2 linked regions of the Lytechinus pictus genome follow. The protein of the gene in region 2 purifies or fractionates together with the protein of the main gene of each other region. This does not show direct contact. Links are inferred from orthologs where the notes say so. Each region holds a gene or a part of one and is shown on either strand. Other genes may lie near its edges.

Evidence for each region.
Region 1: the proteins of small ribosomal subunit protein mS27-like (region 2) and nitric oxide-associated protein 1-like purify together in Homo sapiens (co-immunoprecipitation; 3 studies listed by BioGRID and IntAct, counting the BioPlex papers as one, with this or other methods). This does not show direct contact. The link is inferred for Lytechinus pictus from reciprocal best matches to the Homo sapiens genes MRPS27 and NOA1.

What each region holds. Positions count from the first base shown.
Region 1 is NC_087256.1:9,378,474-9,387,699, forward strand, and holds the start of nitric oxide-associated protein 1-like, read right to left. Parts: upstream 3,787-9,226; 5' UTR 3,707-3,786; coding exon 3,604-3,706; intron 1-3,603. UniProt on the Homo sapiens protein: Involved in regulation of mitochondrial protein translation and respiration. Plays a role in mitochondria-mediated cell death. May act as a scaffolding protein or stabilizer of respiratory chain supercomplexes. Binds GTP.
Region 2 is NC_087249.1:14,653,300-14,662,382, forward strand, and holds the start of small ribosomal subunit protein mS27-like, read right to left. Parts: upstream 4,097-9,083; coding exon 3,979-4,096; intron 1-3,978. UniProt on the Homo sapiens protein: RNA-binding component of the mitochondrial small ribosomal subunit (mt-SSU) that plays a role in mitochondrial protein synthesis. Stimulates mitochondrial mRNA translation of subunit components of the mitochondrial electron transport chain.

The sequences.
Region 1 (9,226 bases), on a different chromosome or scaffold from region 2:
TTATTTTGTCTAAGTTCACACATTTATTCATCTTCCCTTCCTTTCTTTTCCATTTTATCTAAATTAAATTCAAAGAATGACAGAAACCTTTTTCTCTTTCTTTCATCCTTTTCTTCATTTTCCCCTTCATAATATTTTTCTCTCTTTCTTCTCAATCCGAATTCATCTCTTTTCCTTCTCTCCTTCATTCTTTCATTCACCCTCCCTTCCAATTCTTTATATTTTTCACAAGTCTAACACTGTGTATCCTACTTTAATGTTGATCTTTTTTGTCAATTGTCCCGTATTTCATTTTGTAAAATCTGGTCACCCTGGCCTGGGCCTCACTCACACAACATGCGAGGTTAGTATACTAACCTCGCACAACACATGTGATTTCATAGTGCATTTTGACGTTTTCATTCATCACACGAATGTGAGGGACTAAACTACGCCAAACCTTTCAATATTTGTCCACTATGTTAATCTTGATCGTATGGTTTAAGTTTATTTGAAAAAGAAATTATAAATTATTTATTAAAGTGTTTTTATCGCTTACCTCCAAATCTCAACCAGGATACTTCGCTCGGTCCGTCCTTAGTCATCCTTCGTACTGCGGTGGAAATTACGCAAACAACAATCGAAATGCGAAATTTTCCTATCGAACATTCTCGATTCAAGTCGTCGGCGCATAATAGGAAATTGTACCAAAAATCAACATAGTTCTCTATTTATTCAAACAATTTTTTCTGGGGTGCACTTGACCTTTAAGAGATTTTCCAATGAAAATATTACATGGAACTTGGAAATACAAATCATAATTTGGTTGAACAAAATGTTTTCTGTTAAAGTATAAAACAGAAGAGGAACATATCCTTCACATATTTTTATATCCAAAATATGTTGCCTTAGTATGGAATAATCACAATGACATAAAATGAAAATGGGTAAAGTACCTTCCTAATGATCATTGAGATTTCGCCTATGGAATCATTGTTTAATAATTTTCAAAGCTTTAAATAGATGAAAATGTTCATTGAGAAAATATACATATATATATATGAACAAAATGATAATGTCCCGATTGTTTCGCATTACGTGTGTTAGATTGCGGGCATTTGTGTGTGTGTGTAGGAAGCAAGATATTCGTGTTAATGTTTGCACAAAAAAGGAGAGGGAAAGGGAAAGGAAAAGGGGAGGGGGAAAGGTAGAGGAGAGAGGGGGAAAAGGAGACCATAAAATAGAAAGAAAACAAAGGAAAGGAAGAGGGGAAGGGAGAGAGAAAGAAAAATGGAAAGAGCGAGAAAAGAGTAGGGGAGGGAGAAAGGAAACAAAAGAAGAGAAAGGAAAAAGCGAGAAAGGGAATGGAGGGGGCGGGAAAGGGAAGGAGAGACAATAAAAGACAGATCAGGGGAGGGGGAAAGGTAGAGGAGAGAGAGGGAAAAGGAGACCATAAAATAGAAAGAAAACAAAAGAAAGGAAGAGGGGAAGGGAGAGGGAAAGAAAAATGGAAAGAGCGAGAAAAGAGTAGGGGAGGGAGAAAGGAAAGAAAAGAAGGGAAAGGAAAAGCGAAAAAGGGAAGGGAAAGGGAGAGAAGAAAAGAAGGGAGAACGAAAATGGGGAAAGGGAGAAGGAGAGGGGATGATGAAGGGGATAGGAAAATGTCAAGTTTGAAGATCTGAATATTAACACTAAAACAAAATTAGACTCCCATGTTTTATTTGTAAAAATACCATCTTTTTCATGATTATAAAGGTTCAACGTCCCTGTTCTAGGTCTAAACTTCAACATAAATCTACTGGCGCTTCGCGCTTGAATTCTGGAGGTCATTCCTCTTTTAAAAGTATAGGTAATCTGTCGGACTTTTCAAATCCCAAATTTAAATCTTAAGCGCAAATGCCCTCGCATTATTTTTCATTTAGATACAGTCCTGTCATCAATATCAAAAACTCTAAGCGCGAGCTTCGCGCTGGCATCATTTTTGTAAGTGACATTTATGATGTTGTTCATATTTTACAAATGTCCATTTGTTGAGGTTTAAATGTCCAAAAGTTCAGCGCTCGCATAATTTGTAAGGTAAATAGGCCTACCCTTTTAATTGTTATACAAAGGCGCTTATACAACGTCCAGAATGCAGTTCGGAATATTGAAAATAACTATTGGTCCCGCTATTTCTGCCCGTGCGACAAGCATTTATCATTTTGAATCATGAGATTCACCTTTAAAATATGATGAAAAAGTATCGTTAAGACTGAATTAAGAAAAAAAGAAGCTCACGTTTCACGCTCGCATTTTGATCCGTTAGCTTGTGATAATAATGGTGACTTCGTTAATATATCTTAGCGGACATGTCCACCTTTTGGTGCTTCAAGAAAAATAAACACAACACACAAATAATAATAGAAAACGAACAAGAATAGAATAGATAGTTACCTATCCCACTCATGAATTCTTATTTAACAGTCCCCAAAACGTCTTTTTCTCGTGTTAGCTTATTTCATATACATATATATATATATATAAATATATATATATATATATATATATATATATATATATAGGTCTCCTCATCATGGTTATAAAAAGTGCTCAGAATGTTTTATTTTCAAGTCCTTGTATCAGAATTTTCAGCTCGGGCAGCTCTATCGCATTTTGATTACTATTCTGTTGATTTATTTACTTGAACAAAATATTTAAAATGTCCAGCTTTTAGAACAGATATCAAAAAAAGGTATTCACCTTTGATCATAGATGAGGAAGAAGAAAAAAGTGCAAAAAAATAGGAAACAAACTAACGAATTAATGTGACATAATTTTTCTTCATTTCAAGGCGACTCTTTACATTATTTTCATCATCGCTGATGGCGCTACAATAGAAAATACCGCTTGACAGCAAAAAAAAAAAAAGAAAGAGGAAAATAATGCTGAGTGTCTAAAATGCAGCTAGTAGTACAAGCTGCAGAACCGTAAACAAACATCTTGTGAATAATATCGCGCGCCCTCTTCAAGCAAAAGTTTACAACCACGATGACCCTGCGGTATCTACGTGAAGATCACGAGAAAATGCTTTTTTTTCTTAAAAACACACCAAAGAGAAGTCAAGAAACGATCCATATGGTTCGGTAAGTGTCATAGCACAATTAGAAACATTATTTTAAAAGGAATGGCATAGTTATTTTAGTAAAAAGGGTGTGAAAAATTCGCGTGCACCAGGTGCATATGAATCCTTCGCACCCGAGATGCATTGATCCCATGAGTGGCCTGGGCCTAACAGTTGGAATTTTTGGATCTATTTTATTTTTATTTGCAAAATTATTAAGTTTAGCATGCAGCACTGCACTGCAGAATATACCGAAATAGTTTATTAATTTTGGTTATCAGGTTTTGATGACTGATGGCAAATTTCGCCTTGCTTATCAATCAACCACTGAACTGCCACTGACTGGGTCTGGGGGATGGCAGGGCACTATGTCTATGACCTCGGCCACGCCACGGCTACGGACAAGCGAGCAAGCTAGCGCCGCACCGCGACCGCACCAGCAAGGAAGTGCCAGGTTGGCCGACGGCCGACCCGCATTGCCAGGCCAAAGCGGCAGCCGTTCGATTTAAGCATATTTTTCTTACCTAATACTTCTGGAAGAAAAGATGATGAGCTCTTAATCATACGATGCACACATGGTACGCGAACTACTTGTAGAAATCGATAATTCAGCATATTATTAGCCATTTTATTAAAAACAACTTATCCAAATACCTTGCGAAACACATTTTCTACGGTGTCCCTAACGATTCTCAGGAAAATGAAATCCAACCCAGAAGTAGATCTAACACGGTGAAAGGAAAAACATAAACGGGATACAGGACATCAGTCAACATGGCCAGCAAACGCAAAAGACTAGGAAAAAACCTTTGTTAGTGATCAGATACGCCTAATTGTCAAAACACCTGTATGTTCTCATTAAAATGCATATAATAAGAACACGGCGACTATGATTGCATCCATGGGTGTCGATCACGGGGGGATGGGGGGATATATCCCCCCCAATAATTTAGGGTAGAAAATTTATAATAATGATGATGAAAAAATGAAAAGTTTGATCATGATGATTATAGTGATGATTATAGTATGCTATCAATCATTTTGTTTCCCTCGCAATTTGTGTATATTGATATTAAATAAAAACGTTCTTTTCCAGGACTTTTATACAGATGGGTGGAGGTTCAAGATGAAAAAGAATGAAATGTTTATGTATATGATATTTTTTAACACATGACATAAAAGGACCCCGACGACAAACAACTTTTGTTGATAGGGTGTTCCATCCCACCAGTGGTAATATGATCATATTTTAACAATTTAATAAGTGAAATCAATTAATGGTTTCAGAAAGAATAATCATTCATTTCTCTCTAAAGCGTATCTTCGGATATGAACATCGGATTTTTTTTTTCATGTTATTCTTGTTGTTGTTATGGATTTGAATAACTAAACTTGATTGATTTTTTCTTAATTTGGCAAAAAAAAAAATCTCTTTCGAGTTTGGAAAGGGATGACAGTTTTGCATTCTATATGAGCACACTCATGCGGTACGTAAATTTCATTTTAACACATATATTAGCTGATATTACACACTGATGGTTCAAGAAAATGTTGGAGAAATATCATAACATGACAGTTGAGTTTTTATTGTTTTTACGTTTGTTTTTGTTTCATGCACTTATAAAGCATTTAAAACATGTTAAATCGTCTAAGGATTGACGGTAAGCCCGATGGCGCACGAGAAGCCACACAGTTTGTAATTTGTGCTAGTCTTAATTTGTCCGAATCTGCATTTTATCATTCTGCATTTTATCATCATGCATTAAGAAGAAAAAAGATATTGCCAGACGGGTTAGATTTAAGAGAGAAGTTGTATACATCATGCTCAATAAACAGATCACTTTGTACATGGTCCAGACGATTTTTGTCATTTTATCTTTCGTATATGAGTTTAGAATAGGCTTACTTGTAACACAAATTGAATTTTCAAAAAAATTATATAAGTACAGTACACTGCAACAATAAAGGAATTTCCAAGAACACAGTGGCGTAACTACGGGGGGGGGGGGGCATGGGGGGGGCACGTGCCCCCCAATCGGCTGGCCAGAAAAAAAACTGGGAAGATGAGAAAAAGAGGGAGAAAGGAAGAGAAACGTAGTGGGAATGAAGAAATTATTGTTCATTATAATGTTATATTATAATAATTAAGAATGTTATGTTATAATACATAAGAAACATTTTTCATAACTTTATTTTGCTCAGGCCTAGATGTCTTTATTGTTCCCGGTACTCACATTGTCTGTTTAACGTTTTTAAGTCAATATACACCACATATATTTCCTCGCACTTCGACTTATTATTGTTTGATGTAGTGACATATGGTTCTTTTTCATGACTACTTAAAGTGATTGCCCCATTTTAAGGTGTTAATATAAAACATTTCCTGTCCGTGCTTACGTTCGCACTAGTAGATTGGTGAGAAATGTCTGCTCTTCATGAATTCCTAAAATTCAGTCCTTCAAATGGGCAGTTTATAATCACTCGCGTCGCGTTCTGGTTCGTAATCACTCGCGTTTTGGATTTTTGGCGATTTTTTTTTATTTCGGTGCGATTTTTTTTTCACGGTGTCTTCAATGAAACAGACATGCAGGGAAATTTGAGTTTCGTTTTAAGCCGGCAATTAAGTGCCTTGAAATAAAATGTACTCGACTACTGTTTTAAGTACCAAGAATAGATAACAAGCTTGATCCGCCCCAGACAGCTGGCAGCAGTCTGTTTTGAGGAGTTTTTTTCAAACATTTTTAATTTTTTTTTTAATTTCTCTGTATTTGTTCTTTTAAATTTCTCTGTATTTCTCTGTATTTGTTTTTTTTTATTTCTCTGTATTTGTCCTTATTGTTCATCTCCCTTCTCACTTCTTCCTTTTCTCTTCTCAGTCTTCCCCTTATTTTATCTTCTCTTTCTCTTCTTCTACATCCTCCCCTCAATTTTCTCTTTTTAATTTTATTTTTACCCCCTTATGTCCTCCATCTTCTTTTTTCTTCTTCTACTTCTCCTCCTCCTTCTTGCTTTTCTTCTTCAGCACTTTTTCCTCCCTGATTTTTACGTTAGTGTAGAATAATTCACAAAGAAAGGAAGAAGCAAATAAATAGTGATATTATGAAATTGTAGCACCTCACTATGCTTTATAAAGAATACCACAGACTTCAGGAAAATCCTCCAAAGGCAAAGCTAAATCGAGAGTAGCCTTTCCTCCTTTTTCTTCTTTATTCCTTTTCTCCTTTCTTTCTCCTTTTTTCCTTGCTTCTTTCTTTCTGTCTGTCTTTTTTCTTTCTTTCTCTTTTCTCCCTCTTTCCCTTCCTTTCTCCCCCCCCTCTCTCTTTTTTTAGGGGGAGCCCCCCCCCCGCTTCCGCCGCCTATGGCTCTAAGATTTAAGATGTGGAATGTGATTATGTTAAAACAGTAGTCAAAATTTGCTTGTTATCTTAAAACAGTGGTCGAGAACGTTTTATTTAAGGCACTTACCAGCTTAAAATAAAACGAAACTCGAATTTCAATTTCATTTTATTTTTCCAGTACGTTTGTCTCATTGAAAACACCGTTAGAAAAAAAATCGCACCGAAAAAAAAAAAATCGCCAAAAATAAAAAACGCGTGTGATTACCAACCCGACGCGAGTGATTACGAACGCGAGTGAATATAATAAGCCTTAAAATGTCCCTTTTTCTGATCTGAATATCAAAAATTTTCAGCTCGCGCTTCGCGCTCGCATCATTTGTTCAGTGAAATATGTATCGTATGGTCTTAGTGAATTCTTACAAATAGGCCTTAGAATGCCTCTCTTCAGGTCTGAATATCCTAAATTTTCAGCTCGCGCTCGCAATATTGATGAGTGACATGCGTATTATCATGATTACAATGACTACAAAAAGTGCTTCATGTGTTTAGATGTAGCAAAATCAGCAAGCGCTTTGCACTCGCATTAGATGACTATGGTGAGATATGTATACTCTTAATGGATTCCATAATTGTTTGGGGTCAATATTTACAAAAATTTCAGCTCGCGCTTCGCGCTCGCATTGTTTGTTTAGCGAGACAGGTATGTATCATGATTACAAAAATTTGCTTATAATGTCCTTTTTGGTCTGCATATCAAAAATTTTCAGCCCGCGCTTCACGCTCGCTTTATTTGAGCAGTGAGATACATATCCGTTTAATGGCACTGTCCTTAAAATGTCCCTATTAGGTCAGTATACCTGGCAACTGAGCGCGCTTCGCGCGCTCACTAAGTGACTCAAAAATTTTGCTGGTGCCCCCCAATGCCGTGACTCACGGTACGCCACTGCAAGAACACCATGCATATCAACCACTCCCAAATGTCCTAACTTGTGATTTTAGTGGGGGTAATGTTGAAAGATCCCCATCCACAAGAACATTTGTGTCAATCATCCCCCCAACCAAGAATACCGATCGACACCCATGATTGCATCAAAAGAAGGCTCGCGTTAATCGTTAACAAGGTCTATAGTTGCAATAAGTGGCGACTTAAAATTTTAGCTCGTGCCTCCAATGCCGTGACCCACGGTAACTGTGTGTAAACACTATGAAAAAACAAACTAATCAAGTAATTTGCATTAAAATCAAGGTCCATAAATAGGAATATGTGCCTCATTGAAACAAGCTCAGAATCAATATATCGTTGTTAATTTCTCATGTTTCTTATTCTTATTTTAGAAACATGCAGTTTAATATAGGCCCGTCGGAAAGAATATAAAAGCAGTACGGTACGACTTGAAATTCGTGAACATGATAGGCCCCCATTAATGCAAGAGCGAAGCGCGAGATGAATTTGTGATATGGCCTGAGAAAGGTAGACATAATATAAAACATTTCAATCGCAAACATGAAGCCAGAGATTTATATCATGATTTCTCGCTAAATATTTCATGCGAGCGCGAAGCCCGAGCGTAATTTATTAACCTGAAAATTAATTTTTAGAGGACTATTTGCAGAAATTTATAAACATGAATAGCCACGTATCTCACGAAATGGACAAATCGGGCGGGGAGCCCGAGCTGCAATATTTCGATTCTTTGACTCAAAAAGTCTACTCAGAAATTTATCTACAAGATGCACCTACAAAGTATACTTAAACATTTCATCTGTTACTGTACTTTTATATTTCTTTTGGTGAAAAAGAAAATCAAATTAAATGAAAAATGAAGATAATGATGATGATGGTAATGATGATGGTGATGATGATAACAATAGTAATAATAATAATGATAATAATAATAATTATTATTATTATAATGATACTACTACTTCTACTACTACTACTACTACTACTACCACTTATACTACTAACACGTTCTGCTAATGACAATGGCAACAAAAATGTTTTCAATACTCATCTTCATTCTTCGTTCCCTTTTTAAAGAAATCGATTTTACCCATTTTTCTTTTTGCCCTCCCCGTCTGTGGTTCCAACAGAGTTGAAAGCTGTTTGGTGAACTCACTTCTTCTCAAAACGCGAATGTTGGAATTTCTCATTTTAATTCGCGGGTATGTGAAAATTAGTCCAGGATAGAAGGGGTCGAACCTTGTTTTTTTATATATACAATGTTTTTTTATGGTTTCTTGTCAATTCGAGGGTGCTGATTCCGAATCTGAATGATGCCACTCGTGTAACCTTGAGCATTTTCTGCAAATTGGCAAAATCCAATATGGCCGCCAAAATATTCAAATTACCCATGAAAATCATAAAATTGTCCCCACATTGGCTTTAAAGTACATGCAATTGTGCTGCCGGAGTGAAATAATATCTGAAAAAAATGATTTTTGTCAAAATATTTATTTTCTTGATATCAAAATGGCCGCCATCATAGACCCCTGTACAATATGAATGGGGAAAATTAATTTTTACAAAATTGAGCACTGAAATGCAAGTAATTATGATCTATGAGTGAAGCAATGTCTGTAAACATGATTGCTAACGATATATATCATTTGTTATGTCAGTTATGTGATAAATCCTGTATTTTGATATTCAAAATGGCCTTCAAAAGCCCTAATACTATTATGTACAATGTGAATGGTGACACAAAAAAAATCACAAGAGTGAGCACTAAAATGCATTTTGTTGAGATAAACGAGTGGAATACTGACTAAAAACATTATTGTTAACGAAATGTATTATTTAACATGC
Region 2 (9,083 bases):
GGTCTATATATCATATATAGATTTCTATAGATATATATTATTTATATTATGTCATTCACTTCAATGTAATTCAAGTTTATTGTGTCAATTTTTTTTATTTTCTATGTTCCTTTATAATAGAAATAATTTAGTCTATTATTGTTATAATAATAATAACAATTTTATATACCGCAAAATCGCAAAATTGCCTCTAAGCGGTTAAGAGAAAGGAAAATGAAGTATAAAGGAAATAGAAGTACTTTGCACAACAAAATGTATCAAAACTAATATTACAATTTACAACTTTCTCACCAGATCATGAATAAAGAAATACCATCAAATGGGCCAATAAACATATGAAATGATCAATTTAAGATTTAAAAAGATGAGTTTTAAGCATAACTTTAAATGTATTAACACAGTTAGCATTGCGAATTTGTAGGGGGAGATTGTTCCAAAGAAATGAAGCTGCATAAGAGAACGAACGCTGACCGTATTGTTTGTAAGAAGTATGAGATCGAGAAAGAAGAGATTGAGAAGCTGAACGTAGAACTCGAACAGGCTGATATCGAGGAAGGAGTTCAGAAAGGTATGAAGGAGCTAGACCATGATATGACTTGAAAGCAAGAAGAAGAATTTTGTAAGTGATACGAGAAGTAATAGGTAGCCAGTGGAGTTATGATTAGGCCCTATTATTGTTATCACTATCCTTAATATTATCATTATTATCATTATTATTGTCATCAGTAGTATATGAAACAAAATCATTACTACTGTTACAACATTTGAAAGGGGTTGCATTTTTTAGCTTGTATGCCTTATTTAGTTTCATCAGGAATGCCTGCTTCTTGATTTATAATTCAGTGTGCTATTTTGTAGATTTCACAATATGTTTCAAACTTATTCTCTTTCTACCCTCTTTACCCCTAACTTTGCTATGAAAAAAAAAATTATTGGAACACAAATAAGTGTTGAGTCTGCCATTATGTCTTCCGCTTTTAAATCCATGATAAATCCACAAGTCCATTCAAACTGTATTTTGTTGTTTCACAAACTTTCTGGGATTCTCAAGGGAAAACAGCACTTCTCAGTGCAGTTGCTTCACAGAAGACTGCAAAAATAGATGAAAGGTATATTATGAGATAATTTTTATTCTCACTGGACACAGCATTGTCTGATCCAACATTTGAATACAAAGAAGAGACAAAAGTAGAAGATTGGCTAGAACACACAGGTTATTCTTTTGCAATCAAAATGTTACTTAAAAGATTCTCTGATGAACCTGCGACACTCGAGTACCAGGCATTTGAAGACATCATGCTGACCTACATGAAGTATTTAATTAGAAAATTATGACTTGCTTTCTGAGAATGAAAAGTTGTCATTGGGAAAGATATATAACTTCTTTTGTGGTCTACATGCACTTATCCACTTGGCTGAGGTATCATCAGCATCCCTTTGTGAACTCAACGAGGGTTTTTCGCTGAAGGAGCACCTGTCTTTGACAAGTCATTCAGGAAATCAACAGAATCTGGCACAACCAGGCTCGTCCGAACAGTCTGCAAAGTGATATCTTGGGGTGGTGATGAGAAGTCTGGCTGCCATGGTAGATTTTTGGAATATGCCAGGCTGTGGTTGAAGAGTCAACTTGGATACAACAAAGTTCCACTTGAGCAGTTTCGCGGAAATAGATTTAACATTCTATTTCAAAATGCGGTAGGGGTGGTTTTTTTTAGGTGGAGAACTCACCATTTTCTTAGAGAGTAACGCAGACAATAAGCTTCTCAAGGCTGTTCTTTATGATCTCAAGGTGGAAGAATACTTACATGTAGCAGGATGCAAAGCACTTGGATTGGTGTCGTACTTAGTCAAGATGCCCTTATGGAGATCAATAGAGGTTACAGAGATTCATCTCATGGACATTGGAGAGCGATATCAAACCATCATCGACTTCATCCAACATGCTAGTGAACATGTCAGGGATTTCATGAAAGGGTCATTGAGACTTCCATTTGCTGAACAACACTCTTTGGATAGTGACCCAATCTTCAAAGCTCTCATCAATGAAACACACATTTGAAGATAAGACTGAAGTTGTGTTATCAAAAATGCTGGTAACTATAGCAACTCTTTAAAAGAGAATATTTGCAGATCACCTAGAAGGTGGACGGTGGCATGGTGCAAGCGAGGAGGAACGTGAAAGAGCAAAAGGTCTTCCCAAACCCAATAAGTTCTCTGAAAGTGTGTTCGGACATCTTGACAGGCTGCTGAAGGAAAAACCAAATCTATCAACAGTTGCGGCAGAGGCCTACATTATGTTCTCACACAAACAGACACTTGCCTGGTTGAAGGGAAAGACTAAATCTGAAAAGGCACAACTCTTCTCTAAGGCTAGCAGAAATGTAGCTAAGCTTCAGAAAGCTTTCAAACAGAGACAAAAGCAGATATAACAGAGTCGTAGAGATGCAGCAGCAGAAAAAATGAAAGCTGCTGAGGAAGCAAAGGCAAAAGTTATTAAGTGGAAAGAGAAATTAACCGAAACATTGTCCTTTGGGGCCTGTGGCAAACGGAGCAATGTGTAGATGATGCCTTAAAATGTGCTCAAGACTAAATCAAACAAGAAGTGCAGAAGAAGTGCAGAAACAGAAACCACTAGACAGTGCTCTCAAAGATGTATATACCTTTTCCAAGAAAGATAAAAGAGGAAACAGTGTATGTATACACTGTGTATATATGTGTGTATGTATGTATACGATGCAGGGCCCAATATTTGCGTCCTTTCCGATGGACGGAGTGTTTTCCAACTGTATTCACACCTGCACTGATGACAGGATCACTCAGATGATTCCACTCAATAGTGGATGGGAAGAACGAGTTCCTGTATTGTTCAGTTCGTGCTCTGATTGGATTGTAGCACTTGTTATTATTTGTCACTTGCCTATCTATAATATTTGTAGTGTCACAGTTTTCCCTGGCTCCGTGGAGAGTAAGCATACGTTACTCGTTAGTGAATGATTTTTACTCTCTACGACTACGTTAACGTTAGCTTCCAAGCCTCCTGTCCTGGCATGCCTGGCTAGCCTAACGAGTAACATTAGTCCCCCTTATTCAATTTTTTTTCATACAAAATTTGGGCAAGAATTGAATCAAGTCACTGTTTCTTCCCCTTTTAAGTTTATTTTCCCCCATTTTGGTGCATTTCAGGCCAAAACGGAATAATTATCTTTATTTTTGGTACAGTTCTTTTTATATATTTTTATGAAATAAAGACAAAACTTGAAGAGCCCCATCGGGGGATTTTGCATTGTTAACTCCCTTATGGTGGCTGCACGATAGCGAGCCATCTGTGTACGAGGAGAAATTAAAATGTTAAAAAACTCCTCGAAACAGACGGCTGCCAGCTGTCGGAAAGAGTTCCATATGCATCCCCCACCAAAAATAACAAGATTGTTGAGAATTCCGGTTTATTCACCTCAGATTTTTCTATCATTTTTTTTAATGTTAATTACCGTAGTCGGGACTTGAACTCACCTCGTTTTATCTGCAGTCAAGGGGTATTTTAACGATTATCAGCCGATAGTCTAGACTCACAGACCCTTTACGGACTAAATAAACCAATGTCTATGCCATGGCATGGATTTAATTTTAATTACACGCACTAGGCCTACTCCTGCTCGAAACTTGACGGAATAAAGTAAAGCCATATTTTGATATGAATTTCCACTCCCCCATCATATATGTTCTATATTAGGGCCTATGGCTAGATATATTATTCTGAACCTTCTCCATGTTTTTATTTTCAATTTTAGTGGGGGTGCATATGGAACTCTTGCCCAGCTCAGCTGTCTAAGACTAAGCTACTCCTAGTACTTTGCCAAAGACGAGCTACGCCGCCAGGCACGGGGGGCAAGTGAGAGCCAATCCGGTTAATTCTGCTCAGAGAATCAAGCCGCAAATAACCCAAAATCTTACCTCACTACCAACGTTATTGATACTTACAAGACAACAAATTAGGGTTCATCATAGTAAATCTACACCTTAATAGACCTGTTCTAGAAATTGCTGCCATATAAGCCGGTAATTTGTTGAAAATTTTTGGCTTTACCAGAGACGCCATGGTTCTTCTTGGTCCGCTCTGTCCTGCTGCTAGCGATAGCTAGCATGCAATTAATCATATCATAGCATGGCTTGCGCTTGACCATTAACCGTACGTAGAGGGCAGCAACACTGGTCTAATATATTTCGTGACTTATTGGCGGAGCAAAATAATACAATTTTTCCTGGGGGGGGGGGAGAGAAGAGGAAATAAGAGTTTCCTCTCTAGCTCCCTCCGAGAGCTTACGTGTACGTCAGATCGTATCTCTGTGGTCTAATATTTCGTCTAATCAAAGTAATCGTGTAATTGCCATTTCCATAGGCGGCACAGTGAGCCACTGCAGTTTTTTCGCCCTTTTTTCGCCGTTTTGTGTGTTATAACCTATGGGAAATTCAAAGTTGCAGTTTTTTCGCCGTTTTGAAAACGGCTAGAAAAGGGCGAAGAAAGGGAGAATTTTTGGAGAAAAAACGGCCAAAAAACGGCTACATTAGGTTTCTTACGTAAATCTTGAATTATTATGGAGTGCCATCATTGTTCAATATTAGCGGAGCTATTGATTTCCCCATGAAAACGGCGAGAAAACGGCGAATGTTAAGGACGAGGATCCTGTTAGAGGCAGTGGCGTAACAGGCGGGGGGGCAGGGGGGGCAAGTTGCCCCCCCTGGCGGATTTCACCGGGAAAATAAAAAAAAAACGGGAAAAAAGAAAAGGGAGGGGGGAAGAAAGGGAAGGGGGAGGAAAAGGGAAAAGGAAAGGAGGAAAGGGGAAAAAACCGAAGAACTTATTATTTTGTTTAATGGAAAAGGAAGGAAAGCGGGAAAAGGAACGAAAGAAGAACATTTGAGAAAGAAAAAATCATTCCAAAGTAGGCCTAAGTAAATCAATAGCATGATGGGAAATAAATTTCAAGATGAAAAAGTGGCAAACAATAGCGGAAAATGAAGGTAGAATTAGTCAAAAGCTACATTGGAAAACAAAGAAGAACAAGAAAAAAAAAACACTTGATAACACGACCGGGCTGCCGAGGATTGATAAAAAAGAGCGGGAAGAAAGATGGACTGCATGCATACAACATTTTGCTATAAGCTAGCTAAATTTTATGCAAAAAAGCTACCAGGGCTTTGCCCCGCCGGACCCCACGCAGTAGGGGCTCCTCATTATAGGCCTAACATTCCAATGGCTCTATAACGCCCCCCTGTAGGGACCCTTCCTACATTAAGCTTTTCGTTCAATCACTGGCGTACAGGCGTGGCGGGGGGTCTTGGTTCCACAACCAAGGGGAAATAAAAGAAATATAGAAGACAAATTAATGAAACGAATGTAAATAATGAAATGTGTCATTTGCTGAATATAATGGGAAAATCTATCACATAATTTGAATTTAATTTCAATAGGCAATTTTTTTTTCAGCTCGCTTCGCTCGCTGGCGACTTTTTACAAATTTTCACACATCGCTATGCTTTGCCCCGTCAAAATATTTGGTTTATTACGCAACTGGGTTGAATAGATGTGTTGTGTAAAAGCTATATCCTATACCCGCGATATGATTAAAGATAGCGGCCATCTGCGGGGTTTAAATGGCTTTGATATCAAGAAGTTCCGGGGGCTCCGCCCAAGACCCCAACCGCATAGCACTGCCGTATATGAGTATGGAAGGGTTTAGCCATGGCCCCTAAAAGTTCTGCAACCAAAATAAGAGGAAAGAAAAGCACAGGATTCGAATCTACATAAGCTATGTAATATTATGATTTTATTTACTGAATATAATGTCAAAAAATATAGCAAAGTTAGATTCTCATGAAAAGACGATTTTTTTTCTCGCTCGCTTCGCTCGCTCGGGATTTATATTAAGCAGTTTTTTAGTACATGCACCATACTGCGCCCTTTTCTATTTTGGGTTTTTTTTTACTCTTCACGCTACTGCCGCAAAAATTCCTTTTCACAGTGGCGTACAGACCACAAAAAAGGAATGGAAAGAGAAAAGATTGAAATATATTCTCTGGATATCATGTCAAAATCTATCACAAAATTGAATTTTTGTATAAAAAATGTCAAAATTTTTGCTCGCTCGCTTCGCTCGCTCGCAACATTTTTGTTAAGGATAAATTCAGCCCGATACGCAATATCTGGCCCTCTCAAAATAGTCGCCTCATTACACCATAACGTCTGTTTATATCACCAAATCACACTTGTACGAGGTTATACGGTATGCTATATGACCGGGAAATTTTTGGCTCTTGCCCCCCCTGGCCACCGACCCCTGTTACGCCGCTGGTTAGAGGAGTGAAGATACTGAAAGAAAACGGCTAATAAACGGAGAGAAAAGGGCGAGAAAACGGAGACAAAAGGGCGAATGGGTAGTAAGGCGCGCGTTGCATAAAACGGAGAGAAAAGGCCGAGAAAACGGAGACAAAAGGGCTAATGGGTTTAATGCGTGCAGTGCATAAACGGAGAGAAAATTGTGAATGGGTCCCAAGGAGTGCATTCCATGAAACGGAGAGAAAATGGCGGGACAACGGAGAGAAAAGGGCAGATGAGTAGTAAGAGGTGAGAGCATGAAACAGAAAAAAAAAAGGTTAGAAAAAAAAAAAAAAGGGCGAATGGGTTGTACGAAGTGCATTGCATAAATCAGAGAAAAGGGGCGATAAAACTAAGACGAAATGGCGAATGAGTGAGAAGTGCATTGCATAAAATGGCAAAAAGAAATGTGAAAATGTGTGATATGCATTGAGAAAAAGCGACTAGAAAACGTAAAATATATATTTGCAATATTTCTACCAACTTAAGATTTTCTGAAGAACTCCTTTTGGAAATAAGCTCTAGTTTTCATTCATGGGTAATATTCAATAATAATTCTCATGTCATTCATGTAAAAAAAATTGTTATTTTACTTTCTGGGGGGGTTACGCCTTCTTTCATAAATCTTATTTACATATTGTATAGGCCTACTACATTCATTGTTTTATTTCAACATTTTTTATATTTCATGTGGAATTTGATAAAATGTCAATCAGATGAAAATAAAATTTAATTGAATTGGATTGAAACTTCTTTGAATACTTTATTCTTTACTCTTATTTTCCCTTCTTCATGGGCGGGAACCCGAGGGGGACGTGTCCCTCACTCTTTGGAAAGGGGGATGCTTAATAAAATCCCCCGCGGGTACAGTAACAGGGAGGGGGCAGGCCCCCCTGAGATTTGGTGTGCCCCCCAGGTGCCCCCCTGAAAAAAATTGGCAGAGCAAACAAAAGGAGAAAGAAGAAAGGAAAAAGACGGAGAAAGTCAGAAAAAAGTAGAGGAGGAAGACGACTAAATAAAATAAACAGGTCTACCAGCATTCAAAGAGGCTGCGCTTCCCATCATTATAAATTTGCAGCCTCCAACCGGATCTCTTGTTCTTTAAGATGTATCCAGGTTTTTACTTGCACATCGCACTAGAGATCTTCACTATATGACACCAATCTTTCACGACATTTTGCAAAGTTCATTCCAGTTTAGCTTTTTGGAGCTGCAAGAGGAATTATCGTATCAAGTATCAAGTATGTGAGGGGAAGACTTAATTGCAAAAAAAAAAAATCTTTCATGTTACTATATAATATTTTCGCTTGCGCTTCGGGCCGAATTGCCTGTTCGATGAGATTCATATCTTGCTCAACAGGCTGATATGGGGCTTAAAATGGCAAGTTTTGAAGTCAATATACAAAACATATTTCAGCTCGAACATCGAGCTTTTATAAAAATTTTTCATTTATAAATGGGTGCTGCAGCTGATGTCCGTTTTATGGTCTACATATCAACATTTTAAGCTCAAACTGCGTGGTCGCATTATTCGATTTGCCAAATTCCTGACTTGTCTTCGTGTATTCCATAACATTCTCAAAATATCAATTTTCAGATGGGATTGTCAAACGTAGGCCTATAAGTTAGCGCTTCACGCTCGCAGTATTAACGATACCATTTCCTATTCATGATTTACAAAATATGAAGTGTCCCGCTTTTAGGTCTAAAATCTCAATTTTGTTCCTCTCGCGCTTCGCGCTCGCATCAGTTGTTTAGTTACATACCTATCCCATTTATGATTACAAAAAGTGCTTATAGAATTACAATTTTTTAGGTCGGAATGTCAACAATTTTTAGCTCGCGCTTCGCGCTCCCATTATTGAAATATGTACCGTCTTCGTGGAGGGGTGGGGAGGATGACTGAAATATTTTGGCATATTTTTTGCAATCATGTTTTTAGATATGCAAGGAATTGTAATTGATATGTCCACAGTGGCGTACCGTGGGTCACGGCATTGTGGGGGCCCCAGCAAAATTTTTGAATCACTGAGTGAGCGCTCAGTTGCTAGTTATTCTAACCTAATAGAGACATTTTAAGGACAATGTCATTGAACGGATATGTATCTCACTGATCAAATAATGCGAGCGCGAAGCGCGAGCTGATTTTTTTTAATATTCACACCTAAAAAGGGACATTATAATCAAATTTGCGTAATCATGATTGTTACCTGTCTCGCTAAACAATGCGAGCGCGAAGCGCGAGCTGAAATTTTCGTATATTTTGACCCCAAACAGCGAGATTTTAAGGAATATATTTTAGGAATCCATTAAGAGTATGCATATCTCACCATAGTCATCTAATGCGAGTGCCAAGCGCTTGCTGATCTTATTAGAATTACATCTGAACACATGAAACACTTTTTGTAGTCATTGCAATCATGATTATAATACGCATCTCACTAATCAAATATTGCGAGCGTGAAGCGCGAGCAGATAATGTAGATAAGTTAGATAATTCAGACCTGAAGTGGGGCATTCTAAGGTTTCTTTGTAGGAATTAACTTGGACCATACGTATTTCATTAACAAAATGATGCGAGTGCGAAGCGCGAGCTGAAAATTATTGATATTCAGATCAGAAAAAGGGACATTTTAAGGACTGATTTTAGGAATTCATGAAGAGCAGACATATCTCACCAATCCACTAATGCGAACGTAATCACGGACAG